Canis lupus familiaris: one gene and its partners. The protein of the gene in region 1 purifies or fractionates together with the protein of each later gene. This does not show direct contact. Links are inferred from orthologs where the notes say so. Each region holds a gene or a part of one and is shown in the gene's direction. Other genes may lie near its edges. The genes, in order: RNF7, ASB6, ASB7, RAB40B, SPSB2, TULP4 and RAB40C.

What was found.
Region 2: the proteins of RNF7 (region 1) and ASB6 purify together in Homo sapiens (co-immunoprecipitation; 4 studies listed by BioGRID and IntAct, counting the BioPlex papers as one, with this or other methods). This does not show direct contact. The link is inferred for Canis lupus familiaris from reciprocal best matches to the Homo sapiens genes RNF7 and ASB6.
Region 3: the proteins of RNF7 (region 1) and ASB7 purify together in Homo sapiens (co-immunoprecipitation; 4 studies listed by BioGRID and IntAct, with this or other methods). This does not show direct contact. The link is inferred for Canis lupus familiaris from reciprocal best matches to the Homo sapiens genes RNF7 and ASB7.
Region 4: the proteins of RNF7 (region 1) and RAB40B purify together in Homo sapiens (affinity purification with mass spectrometry; 3 studies listed by BioGRID and IntAct, with this or other methods). This does not show direct contact. The link is inferred for Canis lupus familiaris from reciprocal best matches to the Homo sapiens genes RNF7 and RAB40B.
Region 5: the proteins of RNF7 (region 1) and SPSB2 purify together in Homo sapiens (co-immunoprecipitation; 3 studies listed by BioGRID and IntAct, with this or other methods). This does not show direct contact. The link is inferred for Canis lupus familiaris from reciprocal best matches to the Homo sapiens genes RNF7 and SPSB2.
Region 6: the proteins of RNF7 (region 1) and TULP4 purify together in Homo sapiens (co-immunoprecipitation; 3 studies listed by BioGRID and IntAct, with this or other methods). This does not show direct contact. The link is inferred for Canis lupus familiaris from reciprocal best matches to the Homo sapiens genes RNF7 and TULP4.
Region 7: the proteins of RNF7 (region 1) and RAB40C purify together in Homo sapiens (co-immunoprecipitation; 4 studies listed by BioGRID and IntAct, with this or other methods). This does not show direct contact. The link is inferred for Canis lupus familiaris from reciprocal best matches to the Homo sapiens genes RNF7 and RAB40C.

The regions. Positions count from the first base shown.
Region 1 is NC_049244.1:38,109,685-38,113,751, forward strand, and holds the start of RNF7 (RING-box protein 2), read left to right. Parts: upstream 1-1,267; 5' UTR 1,268-1,361; coding exon 1,362-1,536; intron 1,537-1,755; exon of another isoform or gene 1,756-1,823; intron 1,824-4,067. UniProt on the Homo sapiens protein: Catalytic component of multiple cullin-5-RING E3 ubiquitin-protein ligase complexes (ECS complexes), which mediate the ubiquitination and subsequent proteasomal degradation of target proteins.
Region 2 is NC_049230.1:54,248,449-54,251,519, forward strand, and holds the end of ASB6 (ankyrin repeat and SOCS box protein 6), read left to right. Parts: intron 1-88; coding exon 89-197; intron 198-813; coding exon 814-900; intron 901-1,024; coding exon 1,025-1,692; 3' UTR 1,693-2,571; downstream 2,572-3,071. UniProt on the Homo sapiens protein: Probable substrate-recognition component of a SCF-like ECS (Elongin-Cullin-SOCS-box protein) E3 ubiquitin-protein ligase complex which mediates the ubiquitination and subsequent proteasomal degradation of target proteins.
Region 3 is NC_049224.1:40,784,668-40,788,758, reverse strand, and holds the start of ASB7 (ankyrin repeat and SOCS box protein 7), read left to right. Parts: upstream 1-1,291; 5' UTR 1,292-1,811; intron 1,812-1,962; 5' UTR 1,963-2,057; intron 2,058-4,091. UniProt on the Homo sapiens protein: Probable substrate-recognition component of a SCF-like ECS (Elongin-Cullin-SOCS-box protein) E3 ubiquitin-protein ligase complex which mediates the ubiquitination and subsequent proteasomal degradation of target proteins.
Region 4 is NC_049230.1:581,015-585,185, forward strand, and holds the start of RAB40B (ras-related protein Rab-40B), read left to right. Parts: upstream 1-1,371; 5' UTR 1,372-1,424; coding exon 1,425-1,593; intron 1,594-4,171. UniProt on the Homo sapiens protein: RAB40B small GTPase acts as substrate-recognition components of the ECS(RAB40B) E3 ubiquitin ligase complex which mediates the ubiquitination of target proteins.
Region 5 is NC_049248.1:7,948,372-7,952,584, reverse strand, and holds the start of SPSB2 (SPRY domain-containing SOCS box protein 2), read left to right. Parts: upstream 1-1,413; 5' UTR 1,414-1,587; exon of another isoform or gene 1,588-1,716; intron 1,717-4,213. UniProt on the Homo sapiens protein: Substrate recognition component of a SCF-like ECS (Elongin BC-CUL2/5-SOCS-box protein) E3 ubiquitin-protein ligase complex which mediates the ubiquitination and subsequent proteasomal degradation of target proteins.
Region 6 is NC_049222.1:48,221,970-48,225,962, forward strand, and holds the start of TULP4 (tubby-related protein 4), read left to right. Parts: upstream 1-1,193; 5' UTR 1,194-1,267; intron 1,268-1,674; exon of another isoform or gene 1,675-2,220; intron 2,221-3,993. UniProt on the Homo sapiens protein: May be a substrate-recognition component of a SCF-like ECS (Elongin-Cullin-SOCS-box protein) E3 ubiquitin ligase complex which mediates the ubiquitination and subsequent proteasomal degradation of target proteins.
Region 7 is NC_049227.1:40,431,896-40,435,960, reverse strand, and holds the start of RAB40C (ras-related protein Rab-40C), read left to right. Parts: upstream 1-1,265; 5' UTR 1,266-1,422; intron 1,423-2,165; 5' UTR 2,166-2,247; coding exon 2,248-2,389; intron 2,390-4,065. UniProt on the Homo sapiens protein: RAB40C small GTPase acts as substrate-recognition component of the ECS(RAB40C) E3 ubiquitin ligase complex which mediates the ubiquitination and subsequent proteasomal degradation of target proteins.

The DNA.
Region 1 (4,067 bases):
GTGGTAATGAGTCACCTCCTTAGGCATTTGGTACCTCAACTTTCTTATCTCTTAAAAAGGAAGATGTTGTCTCTTTGCTTGAGAAAACAGAAGAACATGACCCCGAGGCTAGCAAGAGAAGCGCCCAGGCTTCATAACTGGCACCTTCACATGATAATAGCGGTGTTACTCCTACACATTAAAAAGAGGAGGTTAAACAGCAGCAGAGGTTCTTGGAGCATGGACCCCTGCGTCCGGGGCATCCTTGCAGGCGACCAGCGGGTCAAAACTATTTGCATGCCAGGATTCAGAGCTATTCTCCCTCTTTTCCCTCTTTATGAGAGCGTTTTCCAGAAGCTACATTATATGGGCACCATCCCTCTAATAACTTGTAATGAGATGATTACTATTAGTTTTTTTTTTTTTTTTTTTAGAGAGAGATTTTACTTATTTATTAGAGGCAGAGAGAGGCAGAGACATAGACAGAGGGAGAAGCAGGCTCCCTGCAAGGATGTGGGACTCGATCCCGGATCCGAGGATCACGACCTGAGCCAAAGGCAAACGCTCAACCACTGAGCCACCCAGGCGCCCCTGTTACCGTTACTTTTAAATGGATGCATTTCAATCCTCCCCTCAAATTTTTAAAAAGATTTTATGTATTTATTCATGAGCGACAGAGGGGGGTTGGGCAGGGACCCAGGCAGAGGGAGAAGCAGGCTCCATGCAGGGAGCCCGACGTGGGACTCGATCCGGATCCCGGGTCTCCAGGGTCACGACCTGGGTCGAAGGCGGCGCCAAACCGCTGAGCCACCCGGGCTGCCCGTCGATTTAAGCTTCTTAAAAAGCAGACAGACTACATCGGGGTGCTGAGCCCCGAAAGTCTGAGAACCGCTGAACCAGGTTTGTCGGAAGACCTGGAGGCAAACGTCTCCTGCATACGGAGGACGAGGCGCCGAGGGCGAAGACGCGGTCCCCGCTCCGGCGGGGTCCACACGCGGGTGGCGGCGGTGCCACGAACGAGAGGCCTGTGAGGGCGCTGAGCTCCCGGGAGGCACACGGCAGGCACACGGCAGGTCGCCCGGGGCCTGCGCAGGGCGCTCGGGGCCGCGGGCACCCAGGCTTCGCGCGCAGTCGCCCCGCAGGCCTCGCCCTCCGGGAGGCCCCCGCGGGCCGGGGGCGGGGCGGGGCGACGAGCGGCCGGGCGCTGGCGTCAGTGACGTCACTGGGCCGCGCCGGCCAATCGAGGCGGCCCGGGTCGTAGGCGCCGCCGGGGTCCGCGGCCTGCAGGGGGCGCTCTGGCCCGCCGGGCGGCCCCGCGGAGCCGCCATAGCCGCCCGCCTCCCCCGATTTAACGTCTCGGCTGCCGGCTCCGCGCCGCCGCCATGGCCGACGTGGAAGACGGCGAGGAGCCCTGCGCCGTGTCCTCTCACTCCGGGAGCGCAGGCTCCAAGTCCGGAGGCGACAAGATGTTCTCTCTCAAGAAGTGGAATGCGGTGGCCATGTGGAGCTGGGACGTGGAGTGCGATACGTGCGCCATCTGCAGGGTCCAGGTGATGGGTAAGCGCTGCACGCGAGGCCCGGGCCGCGCCACGGCCTCCGCGGGGCCGACTCGGCGGGGGCAGCCGGGGGAAGCAGGCTCGGCGAGACCCGGGGCGGGAGGAGCGGGGCGGGGCGGGGCGCGGGGGCCGCCGCTGGGGCTCGGGGGCGCCGGGCGCCGGGAGCGGGGCTGCCCGGGAGGGACGCGGGCAGCGAGCGGAGGAATTGATGTAATTCCAGGTAGAGAAAGGGTGTGGCCGAAGAACTAAAACTGGGTCATTTGATGGCAGCGAAGAGAAGCCACTTAGGTTTGTGCGGCGAGCTCCAGCTCTTGAAAGCCAGGCGCGGAGGGGTCGGCGTGAAAGGCCCCGGGCGAGTAAGGGCACCTTAACGGCAGCGATGACCCGCCGGGGTGATGCTCTGGAGGCCGCTCCCACCGGCGCGACCCCTCAGTCCGCCCCGCAGCGGCGGGAGGCGCGGCAGCCGTCGCGTGTCTGGGTTGGCGAACTGCTGTTGCGCAGGCCTGCGGACCTGCCCGCGCCGCGATGGGGCCTCGGAGAGACACAGGGTGGTTCAAGGACGTGGGGCAGCGCGGGGCGTGACCCCGGAGGCCGGGGCGTGACCCTGGAGACCCGGGATCGAGTCCCGCGTCGGGCTCCCCGCAGGGAGCTGCTTCTCCCTCTGCCTGTGTCTCTGCCTCTCTCTCGCTCTCTCTGTGTCTCTCATGAATAAATAAATAACATTTAAATAAAATAAAATAAAATATTGAAGGTTCTCAGGAATGGAAGAGTGGATGCCCTCTTATTCAGAAACATAAAGCTTCCATCTCCTTCTGGCCCCTCCCTATCATAGGATGCCATTTCCTGAAGAAAAACAAAAAACAAAACAAAAAAAAAACAACGATCCTGCCCTGCTCCGAGTCAGACCTTTATGGAGAGCCCTCTTGCACAAATCAAGTCTCGACTTCTTTTCTGTGATACTTCCAAATGAAAACACTGGGCCAAACGAGACCTTTCAGAGCAGCTTCATCCTGTTACGTTTTATATGCTCTCTGTTTTTTTTTTTTTTTTTTTTTTTTTTTAAGATCTCAAACCACCTTGCAAAAGACAATGCTACCTAAACGCAAGTTATTTTTTTATTTTTATTTTTTTAATAGAACAATCAAAACACGGAGAGAGGATCTTCGTGTTTCTTAGGGGTAGGTGGGGAAAACTGAGGTTCTGCAGTTTGAAAACTTCGTGTCCTGCTCTGAAAAATGAGAGAATTGGAGAAAAATAAACAGAATTGCTCTCTCAAGGGATGACATTAAAACCTGCTAGAATGGAGAGAATCTCAGTTTCCACTCTTTTTAAGCACACTTGTTTTTTATTCATAAAATCTTGTTTCAGAGAGTATTTATGACAATAGGATTCAAGTATTGTTTATTTTTTACTTTTGAGTGCCCGCTTGGGCAGTACCTATGCTAAAATTGGAACGATATTTTTTACTTTTGAAAGAACTTGATTTCAGACACGATCCACTTATTTTGCATATTAGGTCTTAAAAGCACCCAGTTTATTGGTCTGCATTACCACTCCCTTATGCCTCGGTTACTTAAACTATCATAATTTCCAGTTTGAGTGGCATCATTAACTTATCCAGGCAACTTAATTTTTTGTTCTTTTGCATAGCAAACTTTGCTTAATGTTTTATCCTTTAAATTTCCTTTAGTTAAAAAGAAAGTGTTCCAGAAAGTGTTTTTTATATTTCTCCCCAAAGAAAGATTTTAGATTTGTAAGTAGAAATGCAGAATTCAAAGTAATGGTTGAAATACTGCAACAAATAAACTGTACTGGCATATTTAGAGTAAGTCAGAATATGGGCTATAAATGGTTGACATTCATAGTAACCTTCTAATTATAGCAAGTATTCTGACTGTGGATTAATTTTGCAGATTTACAACAGCTGTCCTTTGAGTTAAGGAAAGTATTCTGGACTAGACCTCTGTATTTTGTTTATGAGGTGTTAAAATCCATTTTAGTGGCCAGGTGACAACAGAAGGAAGTTTTTCAGACTTCCTAAGCCTTACCCTAGTAGCATCATTCTAAAAGGTATTGCTGTAATTGTACTCCTTAAAAATGTTCTGTTTTAGATCTTAGGAATATCATGGAAAGAATTTTCTTTATCTAAAACTATGAATTTTTATAGATTTAGGTTGGGTTTTGTTGTTTTTCACTCTTAGGTTGGGTTTTGATGAGTCTAATCAAAGCTCAATCAAAATCATAATCCAGAAATTTCTAGATTCTGCAAAAGAGCCCACTTAATTCCATCTCCTTAATATTTCAAATTCATAAATCACCTAAATGATTCATTATGACTTCTTGATCCAAAATTTGCCTGTCAGCCTGTTCTGATGTGGTTAACACTCTCTTCTTTGATTTCCACTCTTCTCCCTTCATTCTGAAAGGAGCAGATGACACAGTGAGCAATTGTTGAAGAGGAAAATAGGTTTGCTAGTACTGTTGAATTATAAAGAGCCAGAGTAACCCTTCGTGGCTATTTATGTTAACTTG
Region 2 (3,071 bases), on another chromosome or scaffold:
CTGCTCTGAAGCAGGGATGTGGTGAGTGGGGGGCTATGGGCAGCCTCACAGGCCCCCAGGCCCATTCAGCTATGCTTTCTTGGCTCAGATCCATGAGAGCAGCCCCTTGGACCTGGCCAGTGAGGAGCCCGAGCGCCTGCCCTGCCTGCAGCGCCTCCTGGATCTTGGAGCAGACGTCAACGCGGCTGATAAGCATGGTGGGTGCCTCCCACAGGAAAGCAGGGCACCTGGCACCGGGTGCTTTGCGAGGGAAAGCCAGAGCACCCCAGGACAGTGGCTAGGTGTGCAGGCTAGATTTTGCTGCATTTTGCTGACCTGCAGAAGCTTTCAGGAAGTGGTGCAGCCATTGGCCCCACGCCAGCCCCTTGAGGTCTGTCTGCAGGAGGAAGTAGGGCATGCATGTGGTCAGATTCTGAGGCAGAGTTAGCACTTCTTGGCAGAGACTAAGCCCGGGTCTCAGGTAGCAGCATCTGCGTGTCCAGAAATATCCCACGTCTTCTGGCCACTCTGCTCTTGGTTCTGTGTTGGTGGAAAGGGAATGACTAGAAACCGATCACCCTCCACCTTGGCTGAGAAGTTGGTCCTTTTTAAAGTTTGCTTTCTGGGGGGTGCCCAGCTGGCTCAGTTGGTAGAGTATGTGACTCTTGATCTCAAGAGTTGTGAGTTCAAGCCCCATGTTGGGTGTAAAGATTACTTAAAATCCTTGAGGACAAAACAAAGTCCACTTTCTCATCCTGTGGTGTCCCCTGCACCTGAGGGGTGGTCCTGACCTTGGTTTCCTGGTCCACACTCCTCATTCTCTTCCTTCCATAGGAAAGACTGCTCTGCTCCATGCTTTGGCCAGCAGTGACGGGGTGCAGATCTATAATACTGAGAATATCCGGCTCTTACTGGAAGGAGGTGAGGCTGGTCCACAGGCTGTTCCCAGGCCCTTCTCTTTCTTCCCACCATTAAACATGAAGCATTACTTTGCAGGGATTTAAGACCTTCTCCTGTTTTCTCTTTTCCTGACTGGCTCTTGTAGGGGCAGATGTGAAGGCTACCACCAAAGACGGGGACACTGTGTTCACCTGCATCATCTTCCTGCTTGGTGAGACGGTGGGAGGGGACAAAGAAGAGGCCCAGATGATCAGCCGCTTCTGCTTCCAAGTCACACAGCTGCTCCTGGCCCATGGGGCTGACCCCAGCGAGTGCCCAGCCCACGAGTCCCTCACACACATCTGCCTCAAGAGCTTCAAACTGCATTTCCCTCTCCTGCGCTTCCTGCTGGAGTCTGGAGCTGCCTATAACTGTTCCCTCCATGGTGCATCCTGCTGGTCTGGCTTCCACATCATCTTTGAGAGGCTCTGTTCCCACCCAGGCTGTGCTGAAGATGAGAGCCACGTGGACCTCCTGCGCAAAGCTGAGACCGTCCTAGATCTCATGGTGACGAATTCCCAGAAACTCCAGCTGCCTGAAAACTTCGATATCCATCCTGTGGGCAGTCTAGCAGAGAAGATCCAGGCCCTTCACTTCTCCTTGAGGCAGCTGGAGAGCTATCCTCCATCCCTCAAGCACCTATGTCGGGTTTACATCCGGCTCTATCTTCAGCCCTGGCCTGTGGATGCGAAGGTCAAAGCCCTACCTCTGCCTGACAGGCTGAAATGGTACCTCCTCAGTGAGCATAGTGGTACCGTTGAAGAGGACATCTGACCACTCCCGGATGGAAGGGTGCAGGGTCTGGGCAGCTCAGCCTGCTGGTGGATTTTGGTACCTGTGGCAGCCTTAGGGGAGAACCTTCTGGCCATCTTCCGGAAGGTACAGGTTGGGAGAGGAGACTTGATCCTAACTGTGTACCAAGAACACAGGTGGAGCCCAGCAGCTGCGGTCATTCCTGTGGGAAAAAAACTCTGTCTTCCAGGGGGACTGCCCCCCCTTCTGTCTGCCAGAACCCCCAAGTCTCAACCACATTGGGAAAAGGGACAGGGTGTAGATTTGGGACAAGTGTACACCTCGTCTGCAGGGAGCATCAGGCAGGGTAGCTTTGAGTCTCTGTCCTCCTGAGAACTGTAGGAGGCTGGTCTGTCTTGCATGGGGCCCAACTAAAGCCAGAAGGAAGCATGGTAGGCTTGTGGGGGACAACCCTGCAAGGCCCTTCACTCCCAGCCTCTCCTCATGCTAGATTATGTCACATACAGAAGTGCTTTTGGTGGGCTAGGGAGAAAGCTGAGCTGACCCCTGCCACCTTTGGCCGTTCTGGGACCAGGTCACCCACGGCCCAGCCACCAAGGCACGGGACTGGACTCTGGTGGCAGCTGTCTGTGCCAAACCTGGGACCTTGGGAGACCATGTCTTCTGCTAAAAGCAATTCTGCATGACCAGAGACAGTCCTTTCCAAAATGTCTCACAATTTTGTGAGGGGTCCATCTGATGAAGAAAGCTACACTGCTGAAAGCTGACTGTACTGCCCAGGCCGAGCCCTCACAAAGCCGAGTCCCAGGCACATGGGCCCTTATGAATTGTGTAAATGCTGGGGAAGCAAGCTGAGGCAACTAAAGATACATTATAAAGTAAAACATTTCTCTTGGCCTTCAAGGTGACATTTTGGCCCCTCACCCTTCCCCAGCCTCAGATAAAGGCTCCCACTGCAGCCATTAAGAGGTGAGAAGCACTAGGGGACGGCAGCATCTGGTGGGGACAATTAACACAGCACTGCTGTCCCAGTTAAAAAAGAGTACCACTCCACACTGGCTAGGGCCTTCCCATTACAGGATTCACCCTTTTATTTTCTGACTGAAAATGCTCACCGAGGAGGAGCTGCCAGGCCCAGCCAGGAGTGAGGCTGCAGACTTGTAACGATCACATTAGGGACACCAGGGCTCCATCACCACACAGGCCTCAGAAAGCAAACATCCCCAGCAGCTGCAGGAGGTAGCAGGCCTGCCCAGGCTCGCCGTAGCAACAGGGTGACAGTGCCAGCTCCAGGCCCGGCTCCTCTCCTCCCCCCAAGGGAAAAAAGTCCTCTATGACCGAGAGTTCTCTTCCTCTTAAGGCAGCCAGGCCTACAGCTGGAAGGCCAGGTGGTACAAGGG
Region 3 (4,091 bases), on another chromosome or scaffold:
CTTCCCTACCATGGCTTACGAGGTCCTGCAAAGATCTGCGGCCTGTCCCACACCCGCAACGTCATTACCAATCATCCTCCCTCTTACTCACTCTGCTCGACTACGCTGATCTTCTTTCTTGCAGTTTCTGTTAAACAGCAAAGGTTAATCCAGCATCAGAGGCTTTGCACTGTTGATTCTACCTGCCAGCAAAATTCTTCCCCACGCCCCCACCTCCTCCCAGATCGTGCCAAGGTTGGCTCCTCCTCATTCAGATCGCTGCTCCAATGTCACTTCCTCAGAGACCTTTCCTGACTACCTCTCTAACCAGCAGGTCCTAGTCAAACTCGATCCTATTGTTCTCTTCGACTTCCTTTGTATAAGTTATCCCTATCTGATAATTTTGTGTTTATCTGTCTCCCTGGTTAAAGCGAGAGCTCCACGGGGACAAGTGATTCCATCTACCTTGTTCCCTCTTGTCTCCCTAACGGCTGAAACAGCTCCCGGCCAACAAACGCTTGCTAAATGAATCCATGCACTCAATGGACAGGTGCATCTCGCGTATGGTCCGGTCTCCTGTCCCCTCCGTTGTCAGAGATCCGTCAGGGTGCCTGTCCTTGCAGGAAGGCTCTTGCAGCGTCACCGCCATCCCAAAGAGAGTCTTCTTTTCCTCGCCGGGCGAGGCAAGCCCAGCCTGGTAGCTAAAGGGGCCTCAGGGACCCAAAGACGAGCTGCGGACCCGGCACCCGCGCCTGAAAAGCGCTGCGGGGCGGGGGGGGGGGGGGGGGCGGGCGGCGGCACGCGGCGTCCCTCTCTCCTCGCTTCCTGGGGACTGCCGCCTCCCCAACCTTAGACTCCTGCACCAGCCTCTCAGTCGGCCGCACACACGCCTTCCTCGCCGCCGCTCCCAGTTACCTGCCGGGGATCTGGCGTGGGAGACTCAGCCTTCGCACCGCCGCTCCAAGGACCAGGGGCACCCTCCCGGCCACCGTAGTTCTCGGAAAGCGCCTGCCGACCTCCCCTCCCGCATGCGCAGAGGGCCCGTTCGGCGGACGGCGTCTCTTAGCAACCGCGTCGAGTCCCTCCGCCAGGGGCGGAGCGTCGGAAGCCTCAGGGGGAAGCCGAGGGGGAAGTGAGCGAGGCCAATCCGAAACGAGTCCCAGCCTCGGTCGGCACGCCTCTCCTAACTGTCGCGAATGCGCAGACGGCTTTACGGCAGGCAAGGGGTGGGGGCTGCCGTGGGTAAGGAGGAGAGAAGGAAGCAACCAACCAACCAAGTCGCCCCCACCCCCCACCCCCACCCACCCCGGACCTGGTTTACGGCTCCGGGCTCAGGCTCCTATGCGGCCGCTGATTGGCTGCTGAAGGCTTGGTCCCATCCCAGTGACCCCAAAGTGCTGGAGGGAGGGGGCGGGGGTGGCCCAGTGCAAAGTGCATCCCGAAAGCCCCCTGCCTGGAGCCCCCGCGGCTGGCACTTCGGACCCTGTATGACCTGGGACTTCGCTGCCCGGAGACCTCCCGTGTGCCCCCGTAGCTGGGAGCCTCCGGCCCGGAGCGCGGCAGCCCCTGCTCCGAGCCCTCAGACCGGGGCTGCCCCCCCACCCGAGCCGGGACTTCCTCCCTGCACCCCTGCCCCGAGGCTGCCCGGCGCCCAGGACCGTCGCCTCCGTTCTGCCCGGCTGTCCGGATGCTCGCCGGGCTGGGGCCGTGAGGCACCGAGAAGGATCAGGAACACCCGTGTCCGGCCCTGCCTGGAGTGTTTGTTCAATGGAGAAGTTGGTGAGTGTGGAGAAGCCTGAAAGGAGGAAGAGAAGCAGCAGCTGAGGAGACAGGTAAAGTCAGTTACCTCCGCCGAGGGGCCGGGCGCTGGCTGGGGAGGGAGAATCCCTGCTCCTTCCCGCCTGCCCTTACCACTCTTCCTTGGCTAACCCCTTCCTCACAGCCCCTGGGTCCCTGCACCACTCACAGGTCTCTGCGTTCCAGGTTTGAGCTGGCTGGAGGAGACCAGAGAGCACGAAGGGGTCAAGCCGCCCACCGGAGAAGCCGCCGAGAGCCTCTGATCAGCATCCTCTGTAAAGGTAATAAGCCAGACCTCCCCTCCCCCATTGTTTATTCCTGGCCCCTACCTCATTAGGCACTGCTTTCTTTTCAGCCTAGTTACCTGGAAATGCAGCTCTTTCCTGGCACCCAGTTTCCCCAGCAAGAACGAAACACTGCCTGTGCCTGATCCTTAAGATTTTAACTAATAACTTCTCTCTCAGAAGCCTATTTCCCTCTTTTTCTGTGTACCTTGTGTTTCCGTTCTTTGCGTTATCCTTTCCGTGCACTGTACCATTTACTCTGCTCTGAGACTTTGAGACCTTTTTGTAGCCCCCCCTCCCCCTTACTCTCTTAGGAATTCCTCAATTCCTTGTTAATTGCTTGTTAATTCTGAATGATTCTGCTTTTTAACTAAACCACAATTTTCTGTGTTCCCCTTATGTCTTCCTATCACCTTTTCTCCACTCACTCATCAGAAAATCTTTTCAGTTAACTGACAAGGGTTTAGTAGAGGAAGGCATAGTAGTGGCTTGAAATTTATGAGTTTCGAAAGACAATGTGACTTTTTTCTCGTGAAAAGTGAATCTGTGTACCTGGATAGTGTGGATAGTTGAAACCAGTTATTTGCCCCTGAAGCACTTGAGCATAATTAACTCTTGCAGCTTTTATGTGTTTCTGTGTGACAGGTGTGGATGGGTCTTGAAACTGTTATATTTGTTGCACCATAGATTTTCTAGAAGAACTTCCAAAACTTTATACAATATTTTGTTAATCAGTTGACACTCAAGAGTTTGAAAACACGGGAATGTTTTGGTGTTTTTAGAATCTAGGGCTTTGTTTCTGCACTCTTCGTAGATAAGATCTCTTCAAAACCCTTACAGATAATTTGTTAGATTGAAATGTAAGCATCTCATTCGTGTGATCACGTTTCTGCCGCTGTATTTTGTGGCTGCCTCTGAAAATGCATTAAAGGTAAGTGTAGGACATTCATGTACTTCCTAAAGAGGGAATATGATCAGGGAAATTATGTAAGAGTTAGTTCAGAAATTAGTCAAGTGAATGACTTCTTTGCCATCCGGTAACAGGGGTATAAAGTGACTTGTTAATCTCAGAGTTATTTTAATATCTAAGATTGTTTAGGGAATTTCAGATACAAAGAAGTACTTAAAATAACAAGTTGTTAGGAAATTTTTGATTTACTCTGTTCCACTGGACTTTCTGCCTTTTACAAAAATAAATTAATGCCTTTCCTGATTATTTTTAATTGTGAAGACGTCAGTCAAGATACTTTTAAGTTCTCTGAGGATTTGTGTTCTTGAGACCTGGAACTGGTCACCAAAGGGAGAGTGTATGCTACTGAATGAGATTGGAAATAAGTACCTAGCAGTGATTAGACGTTCACGGTGAACATTTAGGACAGCCTTTATGTGTACATGGGATCCACTTCAATTCAGTAAAAGCTAGGCAGAAGTCTGTCAAGTTAAAGGGAATTTTCATTATTTAAATGTGCAAATTACCAGAGAAATGCCTAATGATGGCTTTAGGAATTGTTTTTTTTTAAATATGCTAACATACTTGAAGTATGTTTTTAAGGTACAAATGAATTATGCGTTTTCTGTTCAGACCTTCTCACATAAATATTTTTATTTTCTACTTTAGATATAGAACTCTAGCATGTTTTCATTTACAAGGGGTGTTATCACCTGAGATTGTAAGAGAGTGGGTCTGTGGCAAGTCAAGTATGCAAGGTATAGAGACGACACTCCTTTATCCTGGTTGCTAGGCAGGTCATTCTCATTGCTTAAATAATATTTCATCGATCCTCTCAGCTTTTGACGGTTTTTCTAAGATTAGGGAATATATATGTAAATGTAAATTGTTGACATCTGTTTCTAATATTAGCATGATTGAGAGTGTTTGGTCTAGGTTATGCTGAACATTTGAAATGTTTAATTTGGGTAATTATTTACCAACATGGACAGTTTATTTTTTTCAACCTGGTAGTTAATTTTGTGTTAATTCGCTTGCCAGGTACATGGGTTTTTAAAGGAAAGAAAGGTCCAGAACCTGAT
Region 4 (4,171 bases), on another chromosome or scaffold:
TCACATGTGACCTGCCCTTACCACCTAATGCCACCGTGAGTCAAGACGTGTTCATGGGGACTGCTGGGGGCGACCTGTTTTCATCTCAAGGTGAGGAATGGCGATGTGCAATTCTGGAGACGTTTTTAGTGGTTACAGCTGGGAGAAGAGTGCCCTGGTATCTAACGGATAGGGGTCAGGGATGCTGCTCTGTCCAGCAACGCAGAACAACTACCACAAAGAACAATCCAGACCCCTGGGACCCCTGGGGCTGGTTCAAACATCCCACACTGGACCTCGAGACTGTCCGAGGGCCCTGGGAAAGGCTGACTGAGGGATTGGTGAGCACAAACCTCCCAGCCCTGGCTCTCAGCGGGCAGAGCTCCTCACCCCAGAGCTCATTCCTGCTCGGGGTAGGCCTGCCCCCCTCCCCACCATGATGCCTGCTGTGGACTGAATATGCTCCCAACCATATATTGAACCCCTAAATCCCAGTGTGATAATACCTGGAGATGTGGCCTTTGTAAGGTAATTAGAGCCCCGAGGTCGTCTGGTGGGGACCTTGATTATGCATATTCAGAGGACATTCTAAGAATGGACACAGGGCTGCCAAGGATATGGGATCTTCCCCATGGGGTGCTGCCAGAGGCTCTACTACAGGGCCCTTGTATTGGTCCAGAAGGGGCATGGATTCCCATCAGGGTGATCCCCGCAGGGAATTTGGGGATTGGATCTGAAAGCAAAGCGGTCCAATCTCAGTCCAGCGTCCATGACTCCCTAGATGCGGGGAGAAGTCTGAGGCCTGGAGGGTCCCCACCTTGCCTGTCCCTCAGCTCCCCCAGAAACACGCGCACAGGCTCACGTGCGCACACCCATGCACATGCAGGGCGCAGCGATGCACACACACGAACACGTGCACACGTGCACAGGCGCACGCACACACACGGGCACTCGCGCCCACGCGCTCGGGGACAAAGACGAGGCCCCGGGAAATCCTGGGGGACACCGCGGGCCCAGGCCCACGCGGGACAGGGACCCCGGACGCCAGACGACCTGGTTCTGGCCTCCCGGCTGCACGTCCGCCAACTGAACCGGCCCCGCCAAGTCTGCAGGTGGCAGCGCGTGGAGGGCGCGGCAGCCGGGAGGCCAGGCCCCGCCCCCGGCCCGCCCACTTCCGGACCTCATTGGCTGTGGCCGTCACAGCCGCGTCTCGCCCCGCCCCGCTTCGCCCCGGCCCCGCCCCCGGCCGCAGAGGCGGCGAAGACCAAAGCCTCCCGGGAGGGGCGGAGACGAGGGGAGATGGACGGGCAGCGCAGCCAATGAGCGTGCGCAGCCGCCCTAGCAACTGCGGCTGGCCAATGGCGGGGCGGGGCGGGGCGGGCGGGGCGGGGCTCCGTGCTGTCAGCGGCGGACCGCGGGGCCTCTGTGCCTCCCGCGGGCCGGGCATGGGCGCAGGCGGCGGCGGCCGCACGATGAACACCCTGGGCAGCCCGGTCCGCGCCTACGACTTCCTGCTCAAGTTCTTGCTGGTGGGCGACAGCGACGTGGGCAAAGGCGAGATCCTGGCGAGCCTGCAGGATGGCGCGGCCGAGTCCCCCTACGGCCACCCGGCGGGTGAGCGCGGGGCCGGGACCCGGGAGCAGAGCCCGGGGGGATCGCGGTGGGGGGGGGGGGCGGGAGCTCGAGGTGGGGGGACCGGGAGCGCACGGGGGGTGGGAGGGAGGGGGGCCGGGAGCGCACGGGGGGGGCGAGGTGGGCCGGGAGCTCGCGGTGGGGGGGGCCGGGAGCTCGCGGTGGGGGCGCCGGGAGCGCAGGGGGGGCGGGAGGGAGGGGTGCCGGGAGCGCACGGGGGCGGGCTGGGGTCCTGGCGGCGGGCTGGGAGGGGCTGGGCGGGGAGCCAGCGGGGGCCCAGAGAGCGCGCGGAGGGCCGGGGGGCGTGGAGCCGCCGAGCGCAAGGGGCCGGGGGAGCGCGCGGCGGGCGCGGGGAGCCGGGCACCGGGGGAGCGCGCCGAGGAGCTGGGGGCGCAGCGGCCGGGGGAGGCCCTCGCCCGGGGGCGCAGAGCCAGGCGGTGGAGCGCGCGAAGGGCCGGGATCCAGGCGCGCGAGGCTCTCGGCCCTGGGCCTGAGTCGGGCGCGCGCTCCGCAGGAGGCCGGGCTGCACCCCAGGTCCGCGCGTGGGGAGCGCGGCACGTCGGTCTACGGTCTCCCCAAGGTCCGCTTCCTCGCGCAGCCAGCGGCCGGGCAGGGCTCTGGGGTACCTCGGCCCCGGCGGAGGCGGGCGGACCACGCAGGTGGGCTTTGGGGAGGAGGTAGCGGGGCTGCTGCGTGCGCCCGGCTGGGAGGCCGCGAGCGCGTTTGGAGAGGATGCGTGGGGGTAACGGAGCGGGCGGGAGGGGACGGGGCCGAGGCTCCCAGGTGGAGGCTCTGCGCGTGGGAGGGATGGAAGCCGAGGGGAGAGGAAGCAAGAGAACTAACCAGCCTGGAGAGGCTCCTCCTCTGCAAACAGGATCCCGGAGGGCAAGAAACCCAAATGACCCTGGGGAATGCGGCCTGAGGGCGGGAAGGGAAGCACCACGGAAAGGGAAGGAGTGAGGGTTCAGGTGGAGGAGAAGCCACAGGGCTCAGGGAGGACAGGGGGTGGAGGATCCTCAAAGCTGGGGTCTGGGGGTCTGAGGGTCAGAGGCCCCAAGGCGGTGTGCGGCGTTAGGAGGGAGAGATGGCGAGGGGAGGCCAGTGAGGTGGGCATCCAGCTGGACCAGCGGGCAGGGGCCGAGTCAGGTCTTCACCCAGGCAGGCCGCTCTGACGGTGCGGGTGGCTGCAAAGGGCACCTGTCAGCCCTTGTGTCAGAGGCTCCAGGCGCACCTCCAACACAGGTCTTGCCCCCTCTGTCTCCTGGGCTTGCAGTCGGGGTCTCCAGGAGCAGAGGAGGGCGGCCCAGCAAGGGGTCTGTTGATGTTCAAGCCAGCAGGTGTGCTTCCTGCCCTGACCAGGGTAGAATTGAGGCAACGGTCCAGAGGAGGACGTCCTGGGTCCAGAGGACCTCAGCAGCAAATGAACTTGAGTTGAGGCAAGAGGGGCAGGGGTGCAGGGCAAAGTTTGCGGGGTGAGGGACGCGAAGGGAAACAGTGGTCAGCAGAGCTGGCAGAGAGGGGAGCCTGGGGCTTCTGAGCAGGGAGGAGAGGCTCAGGTGGAATGGCCTGGGGCGGGCCTGTGAGATTGGAGGTGTTGGGCCGGGGAGAAAGTTGGGAGGAGGTCGGGAAGGTTCCGGAGAACCGATGCCAAGAACCTGGACTATTCCTGAGGTTGAGGGTGTGAGAGTCAACCTTGGCGCTTGTGAAAATACAGATTCCGTCTCTAATTCCAGATCTGTGTCATCCAAGGTGGTGCCATCAGTGACATGTGATTTTTAAATTTAAAGTAGGGGGATCCCTGAGTGGCTCAGCGGTTTGGCACCTGCCTTTGGCCCAGGGCACGATCCTGGAGTCCCGGGATTGAGTCCCACGTCGGGCTCCCGGCATGGAGCCTGCTTCTCCCTCTGCCTGTGTCTCTGCCTCTCTCTCTCTCTCTCTCTCTCTCTCTGTGTGTGTCTATCATAAATAAATCTTAAAAAAAAAAATAAAGTAGTTACAATGAAACACAAGTAAAGGTTCCTATGAATCGTGGGTCAAGTGCTCAACAGCAGCCCCTGGCCTGTGACCCTGTAGCAGGGCTCTGCTGGCAGGCGCCGCTCTGGGGCTCGGGCTCCAGGAGGGCAGCGGGTTGTGTCTGCAGTTTCCTCCGCAGGGCCTGGGGCTCAGTGGGTGCAGGAGCTCGTAGAGGTGAAGGAAGACACATCGGGCACATAGAGCACGGTGCTCCTAAAACTGCGTGGCTGGGGGCACGAGCCCTAGTGGGTGAGCGATGTGGGCCGGTGGGAGGAGTGTGGACAGAGTGGGTGTCCTGGTGGTTTGAACAGAGCTTGGGTGGCTCTGCTGCGTTACCTTCTTTCTTGTTATTTGTAGACTGAGCGTTTGTAAAAGCAACGAATTAGCACTTTCCCCCAAAGGTCTTTCTTCCACCCCGAGGGAGGACTTAGGTTAAAAAAGACACTTTCCAGGGATTTTAAGAAGTTGAAATCTTTCCCAGTATTATTATTATTATTATTATTATTAGACACGTTCTACTTTGCATTCTGCTGGGGGCTTGGGGAGG
Region 5 (4,213 bases), on another chromosome or scaffold:
TTATTTCTACTATATTTTTATAGTAGCTTGCCATAACAAAACACTGAGTATTTTAACAAGAAAATTTAATTTTCTCATAGTTCTGGAGGCAAGAAGTCTTAGGGCAACGTGTCAGTAAGTAGGTTTGGTTTCTTCTGAGGCCCTTCTTGCAGATGACTGCCTTATTGTGTCCTCACACAGTCTTCTCTGTGCACTGCACTTTTGTGTCCAAATTTCCTCTTCTCAAACTGACACCAGTCAGATTTGGGCCTACCTGACGGCCTCATTTTAACTTAATCATCACTTTAAAGGGCCTATTTCCAAATACACCACATTCTGAGGTACTGGGAGTTAAAGCTTCAAAATATGGACCAGAAGAGGGCAAATTCCACACCTAACAATGTTGCTATTATCTATGTTCTTAAAGTTATTTACCTCTTGAAATCAGTCATGGGGGGAGTATTTAGCATTTCAGTAAATGCTCCAAATTAGGGCTTTTTGTTCTCCCCGCCATGCCGCCATGCCCGGTGTCATTTAGTAGCACATCACAACTAGGAAGGTGTTAGTCTCGAGTATAATTTGAATCTGAAAAGGAAGAAATACACACACACACACACACACACAGGAGTGTGTATATGTAGATGGTGTACAGTGCATAACCTACATATAGCTTATGTAGCTTACATATAGCTTATATATATATATATATTTTTTTTTAATTTATTCATTCAGGAGAGATCCAGAGAGAGAGAGGCAGAGAAAGAGGCAGAGGAAGGAGGCTCCCTGCAGGGAGCCTGATGCAGCACTCTACCCCTGGACCCTGGGAACATGACCAGAGCCAAAGGCAGACACTCAACCAGTGAGCCACCCAGGTGTCCCTCGATGTTCTTTTAAGAAGTAATCGGGGACATCCTCCCATCGGTTTGGATTTACCCACAGGGATAAAACGTCCTTCCCTCCTCCCTACACTTTGAGAATCATTGAGGAGGAATGAACCAAGCACAAGCCAGTGCTATACCCCATTAAGATTCACTAGAAGGGGCATCTGGGTGGCTCGGTGGTTGAGCAGCTGCCTTTGGCTCAGGTCGAAATCCCTCGGTCCTAGGATTAGGATGGGGTCCTAAGTCGGGCTCCCTGCAGGGAGTCTATTCTTCCCTCTGCCTAGGTCTCTGCCTCTCTCTCTCATGAATGAATAAATGTTAAAAAAAAAAAAAAAAGAGAGACGGAGGGGGGGTTCACTAGAAGTAGAGGCCCTGAAGGATATAAAGGTGGAAGAAAAACTAGAAAAACTCGAGTCAGTATTTTTAAAATTAGCAAGGATAAACAAAAGCGTATTAGACTTGGCAAGCAAGATATCTGATGACTAATCTAGGTGAGGTTTGCGGAGCTAAAGCGTTTATGATCATCATAATAGGTGTGCGCTCCTTTACCCTAGCGTTTCTAGTAGAACCGGGGTGTCTCCTACTTCCGGCCTCCCCGCTCCAAGGTGCACAGAGCTTCACTCCCTCAGGGTGGGCAGGCCTCTACACTGGTCGGGGAGGCCAGGGGGCGGAGCGAGGAACTGCGAGGTGGAACCACAGGGCGCCTCTGACTGTAGAGACCCAGCAGGTGAGCCTGGAGCCCGAACCTGGCCGACGGCCCCGGCCCTTCCACGCCTCTCTGGAGCCCTGAACCAGAGCCCCCGTCCGCCGCCCGCTTCAGGGGCCGTCGCCTCCGAGCGCCGGTTCTCAGCTTCGGGCTCGGGCTTCCGCCCCGGGGCCTTTGTTCCGGCGCAGAACGTTCCAGACGCGCCGGAAGGCGGATGGCGGGGGCGGGGCTGCCACCGCGGCGGTCGGCCACGGGTGCGGCCGCTGGGGGGCGCGCGAGCCCCGGCTCAGGCCGCCCGCCCACGTGACCGCGGCGGGCCAGGAGGCCGCCCCCGCCCGCCCCCGCCCGCCGCCCGCCGCCAGCTCCGCCGCGGTTACGAAACGAGCGCCCGGGGCGGCGGCGCGGGGAGCCGCGCGTCGCCCAGGCCGACGGATTTTCCGTCGCCATTTCGTCGCCGCCCTTGTGTTTTGCGAGCGGCTCCCCTCTTTAAGTCCTGATGCTGCCATCCGGCAGCCCCGTAGTCTGGGGCGGGTCGTGTCGCCTCCCCAGGCCGCGGGCTACGAATCTGTAAAAATGGGGATCTCCTGGCGCGGAGATGTCAGGTCTCCTGGGATGCGGCGGAGTTTCATCGTAGGCGCCGGCGTGAGCCCGTTAAACAGGGCCGGAGGCTGCGAGCCAGCGTTGGGTTCCGCGCGGGCGTCCGACCGCGGGCCAGACCGTGTTCTCCGGGGCTCCAGTTCTCGCGGTTCCTCCGTCCGACGGGGCGGACCGCAGTGCTCGTATTCCGGTTTTAAAACTAGGTTCTAGCGTTCAGATGCCTCTTTTGTACCACGCACGCCCCGTGTGAAGCACCACGGCCGTCTGTCCGCCCCAGCGTGGCACGTTAATACGACCCCAAGAAATCCTCTCGAGTGGTCAAGAGCCCACGAATTTGGGAGCCAGGTCATCAAGCTCTCCCCCAACTGCTAGTGACAGCGAAGTACAGGTGATGATAAGCCTTTAATGAAGACTGAAAGAGCACTGAACTTACTGGTGGGAAAAAGGAGTCAGGTATATGAGCTTAATGACGGCAGTACCTGGCAAGGCAAGGAAAAAGAAACTCAAGTCAGAGTTCAAGCCTCCTGCCAGAGAAGACAGCTTCAGGTGGAAGAATTTCAAACATAGCCAAGGAGAACAGGGAGTAAAACTCACCCAGAGCTACTAAAAACAATTATTGGCCAAATAGCTATCTTCTGTAATAGAATGAGGCTGGTATCTTGGGGTTGGGGGGGGGGGGGCGCAGGGGACAAGGCCCAACTGCTTTTATTTTTATTTATTTATTTTAAAAAAATTTTTTTCTTTGATTTTTTTATTTATTTATGATAGGCACACAGTGAGAGAGAGAGAGGCAGAGACACAGGCAGAGGGAGAAGCAGGCTCCATGCACCGGGAGCCCGACGTGGGATTCGATCCAGGGTCGCGCCCTGGGCCAAAGGCAGGCGCCAAACCGCTGCGCCACCCAGGGATCCCCCCCAACTGCTTTTATATTTCCAAACTAGAAACACAGGCCCTGGATTGAAAACAATTAATGACCTTGTGACCACCGTTCTGTCCCTCTTTCATGGCGGCAGTGTAGCCCTGTATGTAATAAAGCCAGACATGTTCTACAGTGATACAAATGCCAGTGCCCTAAAAAACAAAAAAGATCTGCTTGTACTCCAGCAATTAAATGTAAAGTGCTAGATGACTGCAGCGCTTTCCACAATTGGGATTTATAGTTCTACATTCTAGAAATCCAGTAGGACCTTATAGAGAAAGGCTTTGGCTTTAGTGTTGAGCATAGACTACAGTACCATCTGAGGGGCCACACTGTATGAACGTGCTCCAAAAGACGTAAAAGGCTACCTCTCCCCAATATCACCCTTGTCCTTCACTTTGCTGACCTAGGCAGGATTTGCTGTTTCAAAGCCACATCTATGGGAATGAGTGAGATTCCTCTCTGACTCCCAGAGCCATGAGTGCTGACCCTAATCTAAATGTGATAATGAGGGGTGCCTGGGTGGCTCAGTCAATCAAGCATCTGTCTTTGGCTCTGGTCATGATCCCAGGGTCCTGGTATAGAGCTCTCTGTTGGGTTCCCTGCTCAGCAGGGATCAGAGAGCCTGCTTCTCCCTCTCCCTCTCTGCTTCTTCCTCCCTCTGCTTCTCCCTCTCCTTTTCCCTCTGCCTGCCATTCTGGCTGCTTATACTCTGTGTCACATAGATAAAATTGTTAAAAATAAGTAAATGTGGTAATGTGTTGGAAGAGTTGGACAATCTTCAGTATTGCCAGTTACATCACTTATATTAAACAGTCATGGCAACAATCAAGCTTAAAACAGCCCATGCATGTTAAGAAGAATGTGTTTAGGATTTTAAGGGGTTTCTATTAACCAAGAAATGAAACACACTGTTCAAGTGGCCTAGCAAGTGAATCATGTTAGCTTTGTGAAAGAAATTGAAGCTGGAAGCCACAGAGAAACACTAATAAAAAGAATGAGGAACTGATAAAATCATCCCAGAAGATAAAGATATGATAAACAGGAAGGGAAACCCAGATCACTTCTTCATAAATATGTTAAAATTGCTGCAAAAATGGTGAAATACCTGAATGATTTCATTCCTTTTTT
Region 6 (3,993 bases), on another chromosome or scaffold:
GACAACCAGAAATTCACAGAAGCAAGAATTCTTAAATCTGAAGCCGATTTAAAAATTTGGCAAATAGGCAAAATAGAAAAAAGTGCAGAATCTACGCCAAGAGTGTCTACTACACTTAACTACATAGGACTTTGATGCCTTATGGAAGAAAGAATGCTGATTTATTATTTTTTTTTAAATTAGTTAATTTTTACAAGTAGGCTCCACGCCCAGCCCAGCCCTGTGCCGAGCCCGACAGGGGGCTTGAACTCGGGACCCTGAGATCAAGACCTGAGCTGAGATCCAGTGTCCCAGATTAACGGACTGAGCCGAGCCCTCCAGGGCATCCCAATCTTGTCTGCTTGGACTTTTAAAAAAAATTTTTTTAAGTACACATATAGGAACAATCACACAATCAGTGATGCTATTTCTTTGTCCACGACGGAAAACGCAGGATGGATGCACAAAGTTTCCGTTCCTAGCACGACATCAATGCGGTGGCGAAGAAGAGCAGTGAATTCTCTCTCTGTTGAAACGACGCCGTCTGGTCTCTTCCCTGTAAGACCAACCGAACAGCAGACACTGAGGTCCAAGATCACCGCCGGAGACACTGGGACGACGGTCGCCTCGGCGCTTCCCGGTGGCTCCAACTTGGGACGCGGTGGGACGCCCGCCCGCTGCGGGCTCAGGGCGGGCCCAGGGCGGGCCCAGGGCGGGCCGGGGCAGGGCGCCCGCCGTCGCGTTGCGGGGTGGGCAGGATTTCTCAGGTCGGGGGGGCGCAGAGCCGACTACTTTGTTTTCCTCGTGGGAGCAGGCTGGGAAGCAGCCCTGCACGGCGAGGACGGCGAGCTGCGCGTGTGCACGCGCGTGAGCGCCGGTGTGTGCACGCGTGAGTGTGCGCTCGGGCGAGCGCAGCGGGGCGGAGGCGAGCGCGAGCAGGTGGCGGCGGGCGGGCGGCGGGCGGCGGGGGGCCGGGCGGGGCCGGGCGGGGCCGGGCGGGGCGGGGCGGGGCGGGCGTCCACCGGCGGGGCGCGGGTCCCCAGCGCGCGAGGGCGCGAGGCCGGCCGGGGAGGCGCCTGCCAGCCGCGCCGGGTCACGTGGCGCGGTCACGTGGCGCGGAGCCGGGCCCAGCGGCGGCGGCGGCGGCCGAGGGAGGCGGAGACTCGGTCGAGACGCGGGGCGGGGGGAGGCGGCGGCGGCGGCGGCGGCGGCGGCGGCGCGGGGCTGCTGGAGGCGGAGGCGGAGAGGCGCGGAGGAGCGCGGGGCCGCCGCCACGGGGCGCTAGGAGGTGAGGCGGGCGCGGGGCCGCTGTCACGGGCGCCGGGCCGCGCGCTGCCGCCCTCCGCGGCGAGGAGGCGGCGGGCCCCGGCGCCGCCGGCAGCGCCCTCCCGAGCCCGGCCGGGCGCCCGCCCCTCGAGGTGGGCTCGCGGCCCCCGGCGCCGGCCAGGCCCGTGTGCGCGCGCGGGCGGGGGGCGCGCGGGCGGCGGCGGCGGCGGCGGCGGCGGCGGCGGCGGGCGGGGAGGGCGGCGGCGGCCCGGCCCGGGGCGGGAGGCCGGTCCTCGGGCGGGGGGCGGGGGGCGGCGGCGGCGGCGGCGGCGGCGGGCGGGCCGCCTCGGGTGGGCTCTCCCGGGGGCGCGGACGGCGGGCTCCGGGCGGCGCTGCCTGCTGTTGAGCCGTGTTCGCCTTTTGTTTCAGCGTACAGGAAAATGGGGCGAAATAGAGCTTGGTGTGCGTGTGTGTGTAAATCAGGAGGCGTTTGGCTCGGAGCCATTTTTTCTTCTTCTTCTTAATTGTGGAGAGAGAAGATCCCTTAAAACGGTTTCCCGGGGAGACGGGGCTGTGCTCCTCCTCTTCCTCCCACCCCCACCCGCAGCGTGCGGACGGAGTGGATTTCCCCCCTGCCCCTGCCCCTGCCCCTGCCCCTGCCCACCTTCCGTCCTCCAGGCTGTGCCCTCCCTTCCCGCCCCACCTCGGCGAAGCCCCGAGCGTGCGGGGCGTCTGCAGAGCGGCCCGGTCACCTGTCGTGGCAGCTGCATGGAAACGCTGGCGCTTCTGCTGTCTGGTCTGTACGGTTTCCTCTGGCAAATCAACGGAGATTCCGCTCAGAATACCAACCCTTCCTCTTTTCCCTGCGCTTAAAAACAAAGTGCATGATGCTGGCTCTGAAGTTGGACCCGCTTGGGCCAGCAGCAGGGAGAGGTGTCTGACTTTTCCTCGCCACATCACTTCAAGGTTGGAAAGGTGAGGGCCACCTGGCTTTGTGGAAGGAAATGAGGGTGACACGGTCCTCCCGGGGATGGATGCGACTTACCTGCTAAATACCTGCTAAATCGCTAATTGCTGATCAGAAAGTCTTCCGACACACTTCTCTTCCTGGGGACAGTCAGCTTCCCTTGCAGGGAACTGTTTCCTGGATTTCTGTATTTAGTTGGGGGCTCTTCTCTTTCTATTTGGCACTCCAGGACTCCCAGTAGACAGGTTTTTGAAAAAGCACAGAGAAAGAACATTCATTTCTAAGGTTTTGAGGAATGCAAAAATCTTATCTTTGCGGGGGTCCCTTTATTTCTGCTTCTTTGTGTCTTGGGTTTCCATTTGTTAGTAACTGGAATTTAGTTTTGGCCCTCGGGGCCCGTGGGAATGGTGCTGTGGTCCCGGAGAGGGCTCATCACCAGGCCCGGCAGCACCAGATAGCTGGGATTTGAGGTCGTGATGGATGTGAAGTGACAGGGCACCTTGCACAGAGCCACACTGCAATCCAGAGAGCAGCTAGCTGCCCAGACTCCTGGCCGTCTGGTGGGGCATATTGGGAGCTGATCCCAACATTTTGCAATGATAGCCACATTAAGACCTGGAGGACCTCAGGCGACCCCCCCCCCCCTTCTTTTCTTGATAGTTTACTATCGTGGAAATGAATATATGAATAAATTGTGAAAAGCCAAATCTAGTGTTTAGTTCCTCAGTTTAAAGAATAGTACTTAATTTGTAGGAAAGAGTTATTTGAAGACGTGAATTTTCTTTAAGAATTTTAAGTGCTCTATTTTAGTAAGGGCTGTGAAAGTAGCAGGATCTTCATGTGATGGGGGAAGGTGGTTGACCTCTAGAGTTAGAAGTATGTAGACCTGAGTTAGAGGAAATCATATGGGGAAAATTTCTAATACAGTGGAGCTCTCAGGATACAAGAGTAGGAAGCCAGCATTGCTTCCTGTGCCTGAGAAATAATAATAATGTATTTTCTACTGTATACTTTAAAATTGACTTCATTTAGAAAAGATGTGTGTGTCATGTTGGACTGACTTTCTGTTTTCATATGGAGCTATAAGAGTGGTAGTTTGGTTATTCACGCGTTTTTCCCACCCAAACTCTTGAGTTAAAAAAAAAAAAAATTCTTTGACCTATATAAGGATACATGGTAATGGAAGTAATGGAAGAAGTAGAGAGACAGTGGCCTTCCTTTGAGTGGAATGTCTGCCTTCTCACTAGCTAGTGTCTGGGACAGAAAGTGAAGCCCAGGTTTTCTCTTGGTTTTACTGAGTATCCGAAATCAGGCATGTTTATTGAGTGCCTACCATGTGCATGGTGAAGCTAAGACATTATTCTTCATCTGTTCCACTGCACTTGCAATATCAATTGCAGTCTCCCTCCTGTTCTTTTCCGTATGTGGAGAAAGATTGAAGATAGATTGAGTGGGCCAGCTATGCATGTGATTCACAAAAACTCATTAAAAATTGAGTTAAACTTCTGTCAGGAAATACTTTGGTTTAGTTATTGCATTGGCTCCTCTTTAGGAATCTGTGAAGTATTTTCAGTATTACCTTCCTGAAATTGTTCATTTGCCCAGGGAGACTGCTGACACAGCAGGGAATATGTAATTAAAATGTAAAATTTCTTTTAATTTGGCTGGGATAATGTTCAGTTACTCAATTTTAACATACCAAACATACTGTTGTTTGTGTGGCAAAATATACATATAACATTTATCATCTTAACAGTTCCATGGCATTAGTACATTCACAT
Region 7 (4,065 bases), on another chromosome or scaffold:
GGACTCCAGGATCACACCCTGGGCTGCAGGCGGCGCTAAACCACTGAGCCCCCCCAGTCTGCCCCCTCTCTGGTATTTTATAGTTAACTTTCTGAGTCACTCATTATTAGGGGTCACATGTAAATACGTTCCATTAAAACAAAGGTCATCACTCTGGGTCCCTGATGGAGTCATGCTGTCCCCCGGGAGGGCATAGTCCCAGGCCTCTTCCTGGGCACACAGAGCTTCTCTATGCATAAAGCCTGGGATCAAAGGAGTCGGTAATTTTTTAAAAGCATAAATGTTCAAATGATCCTGGTGATGCTCTGCTGTCACTGGAGTTCTTCACTGTTGGCGCAGGCTCTCCGTAGCTCCCCGGTCTCCTGGAGCACCCCCACACCGACCGGCTCCCCCCCTTCCAGGTCCCCCTCAGCTCTCCCTGAGCACCCCCCCAGCTCCCCCCACCCCTACCCCTCCAGGTCCCCCTCATCCCCCCAGCATCCCCCCACCCCTGCCCCTCCAGGTCCCCCTCACCCCCACAGCATCCCCCCACCCGGCTCCCCCCACCCCTGCCCCTCCAGGTCCCCCTCACCCCCCCACTTGGCTCACCCCAACCCCTCCCCTCCAGGTCCCCCTCACCCCCCCAGCACCCCCCCCCGCGGCTCTCCCCACCCCTCCCCTCCAGGTCCCCCTCCCTACCCCCCCTCGCCCCCTTCGCCCTTCCTCTCCCCCTCGCCCCCCCCCACCGGCTGCCCCCACGTCCGGGCCCACAGGCCGAGGGGTGGGGAGGGTATTATTCTGCTTTATTTTCCATTTTGCAGAGGAGCTGCGTCGTCACGCGTGTTCGCGGGGTCCTCACGCTTCTCTGTCCGTTAAGTAAAGCAGCGGGTGCAGCCTGTAAACAACCGCCGAGGCGCTTCCTCCCGGACCCCCGCCCCGCCTGACCCGCCCTGACCCGGGGGGGGAGGGGGGGGGGCTCCCGCCGCGAACCCAGGGCCGGGGCAGCCATCCGCCCCGGGTCCGAAGGCAGGCGCTGCCGAGCCTCCAGCACCGTGGGCCGCGCGCGACCCAGGCCGCCCCCGCCCCCGCCCCCGCCCTCGCCCTCGCCCTCGCCCTCTGGGCCGCTCCGGCCCCCCTCCCCCCGCAGCGGCCCCGGCCCGCCCCGCCCCGCCGAGAGCGGAAGTCCCGCCCCCGGCCCTCCGAGCGCTGATTGGCCAACCCCGTCCCGCCACGCCCGGGCCCCGCCCCACCGCGGGGAGGCCGGCTCCCAGGGCGCAGTCGCACGGGGCTCCCCGCCCTGACTGGGGTCTCCGCGGGAGCAGCGCCGCGGCTGGCGAGCGGCGTTCGTCCCCCGGGACCCGAGCGCGCCGCCTCGGCCGGGGACCGCCACGGCCCGCGGGCAGGGGGCGTATGCAAACAACCGAAGCCCCGAGCTCCCGATTGGTGAGCGTGTAGAGAAAGGGGCGGGAAGTGCGGGGCGAAGGGGCGGGCTTAGCGGGCCGTGATCGACGTGCGGGCGGGCCAGTGGCTGTGGGAGACTCGGCAGCGGTGGCCAATGGCGGCGGGGAGGGGGCGGGCGAGGGCCGCGGCGTTCCCGGGGCGGGGGCGGGGGGCCAGGGTGGCTGGCGACTCCGGCCGCTCTGCGGGGCGCGGCGGGGGCGGTGAAGGTGCTGGTGGATGTGCGGGCGAGCCAGGGGCGCCGGGGAACCCGGAGGCGAAGGGCCAAGGGCGGCGGCGGCTAGGCCAGGCGGCTGGAATCTTGCCCCGAGAGCGGAGGGGGGGAGCGGCGGGGGGGCGGGCCGTCGTGACGGACGTGCGTGCGGACCAATGGGCACGGGAGGAGGCGGCGGGCGGCCAATGGCGACGGCGCGGAGGCGGGGCGGCCGGAGGTTTAACGGCGGGGTGTGGGAAACGGCGGGGGGCGGGCCGGCGTGACGGACGTGCGCACGGGCCAATGGGGCCGGCGGGCGCGGGGCGGCCAATGGCGGCGCTCGGGCCGGGGGCGGGGCGCGGGGCTGTGCGGCGCCGTGCGGGAAGCGGCGAGCCGCGGGGCGGCGGGGCGGCGGGGCGGCGGCGGCGCTGAGGTGAGGCGAGGCGAGGCGAGGCGGCGGCGCGGGCGGCGGGGGCGACGGGGCGGGCCCGTCCTGTCCTCGCCGGCGCCCACTCACCCGCGCCCGGGCCCGCAGGTCGGTCCGAGGCCTCCTGGTGCCGCCGTGCGCCCGCGGCCGGCGCGGGGGACATGCGGGCGGGGCCCGCGCGCGCCTGAGGATGGGGACGCAGGGCAGCCCGGTCAAGAGCTACGACTACCTGCTCAAGTTCCTGCTGGTGGGCGACAGCGACGTGGGCAAGGGCGAGATCCTGGAGAGCCTGCAGGACGGCGCGGCCGAGTCCCCGTACGCCTACAGCAACGGTAAGGCCGCGCCCCGCCTCGCCGCCCCGCCCCGCGCAGGCCCCGATCCCCGCGGCGCCCCTGCCCCGCCACCCGGCCCGCAGGGACACCACTGCCCGGCCATTCCCCCGCCCCCCTCGCCCCCCCCCCCCCCCCCCCGGCAGTGACACCTCTGTCTGGTCATCCCCACCCACAGTGACACCGCTGTCCCCACCATCCCTGCGCGCAGTGACACTCCTGTCCCCACCATCCCCGCCCACCGTGACACCCCTGCCCCCACCATCCACACTCACAGTGACACCCCTGCCCTGGCCATCCCTACCTGCAGTGACACCGCTGCTCTGGCCATCCCCGCCTGCAGTGAGACCCCTGCCTCCGCCATCCCCACCTGCAGTGATACCCCTGTCCCCACCATCCCCATCCGCAGTGACACCCCTGCCCCGGCCATTCCCGCCCACAGCAACACCCCTGCCCCGGCCATCCCCGCCCGCAGTGACACTCCTGCCCCCGCCATCCCCACGGCAGTGACACCACCACCCTGGCCATCCCCGCCTGCAGTCACACCCCCTGCCCCGTGCTCTGTGGGGGCCACTGTGCCAGGTGTGCCAGGTCTGCTGTGACCCCACGGCCCAGGTGTGCAGGCAGGCCGCACCCTGAGATGGTGGCAGCTCCGTGCGGGCCCAACATGTCATGCTAGGAGGAGACATTCTCTTCCCGGTGTGACTACATACTCCTGAAATTTCTGCTTGTGTTGGTGAAGGGTAGGGTGGGTACACAGCCTGGCACCTGTCAGAGCTGCTGCCAATTCACGTATCTCACGTAAGAAAGGCAGCGAGGTCAGTGCCTCCCGGCGTGGGGGCCCCAGCCCCAGGAGGATTTCTTTGAGGGGAACCAGGAAATCTACTGGTGGCCCGGCAGCCATCTCCGCAGGGACCTTGTGTGCTCCTGGAAGTCCTGCTCCATCTCCTCCTACTTCTTCTGGTCTTTGTTCCCCAGCCCTTTGCTATTTTGTGTCTTGGACCCTTGGCGGTCTTGTCGCACTGCTCTAAGTGTTTGCTGTTTGCTCAATCACCTGGAGGCGGCTGACGGTGTGGACGCTGCTACTCCGACCCTTTCATTTTAGGACCTGTCGGGGTTGTTGGATGAGCTGGACCTGCTGACTGCCCTTCCCGCTGGAGCCGCTTCAGCAGGGGGCAGCTCTGCTGGATTTATACCGTGGCCCCTCCTGCAGCTCATGCCCTCTGCCCCACCTTAGAGGAGACAACTGGAAGGGGAGGAGAGGAGGGGCCCCGGGTTTGTTTTAAGGTGAAGGAGGGCCTCCGCTGGGGCCCTCGCAGGCCCTCGCCAGCGGATGCTTGGCAGTGATTGTCAGAGGTGTCCTTCCCGCCGTAGACAGTGAGTGGTTGAGGTGTTTTTCCAGTAGGGGCATCGCCTCCCAGAGCCCCACTCCTGGGTGGCTGCTGGGGCGTGTTTACAAGAGCGTGAGAAGGCCGGGCTTTGTCCGGGGCAGCAGTGTTTTCCTGGAACGTTGATAACGTGCTTCTGAGAGTCAGCGCAGCCTCACCCTCAGGTGTTCCACGTGGGGGCCGCCGGCACTCGGGGAACACAGGGCCACCGTATGCCCCTCGTTGGTTGTGGTGGTTGCCACGGTTCCTGTGACACGTTGACTGGAATAGGGCTGGCAGTGAGCTGCCTGA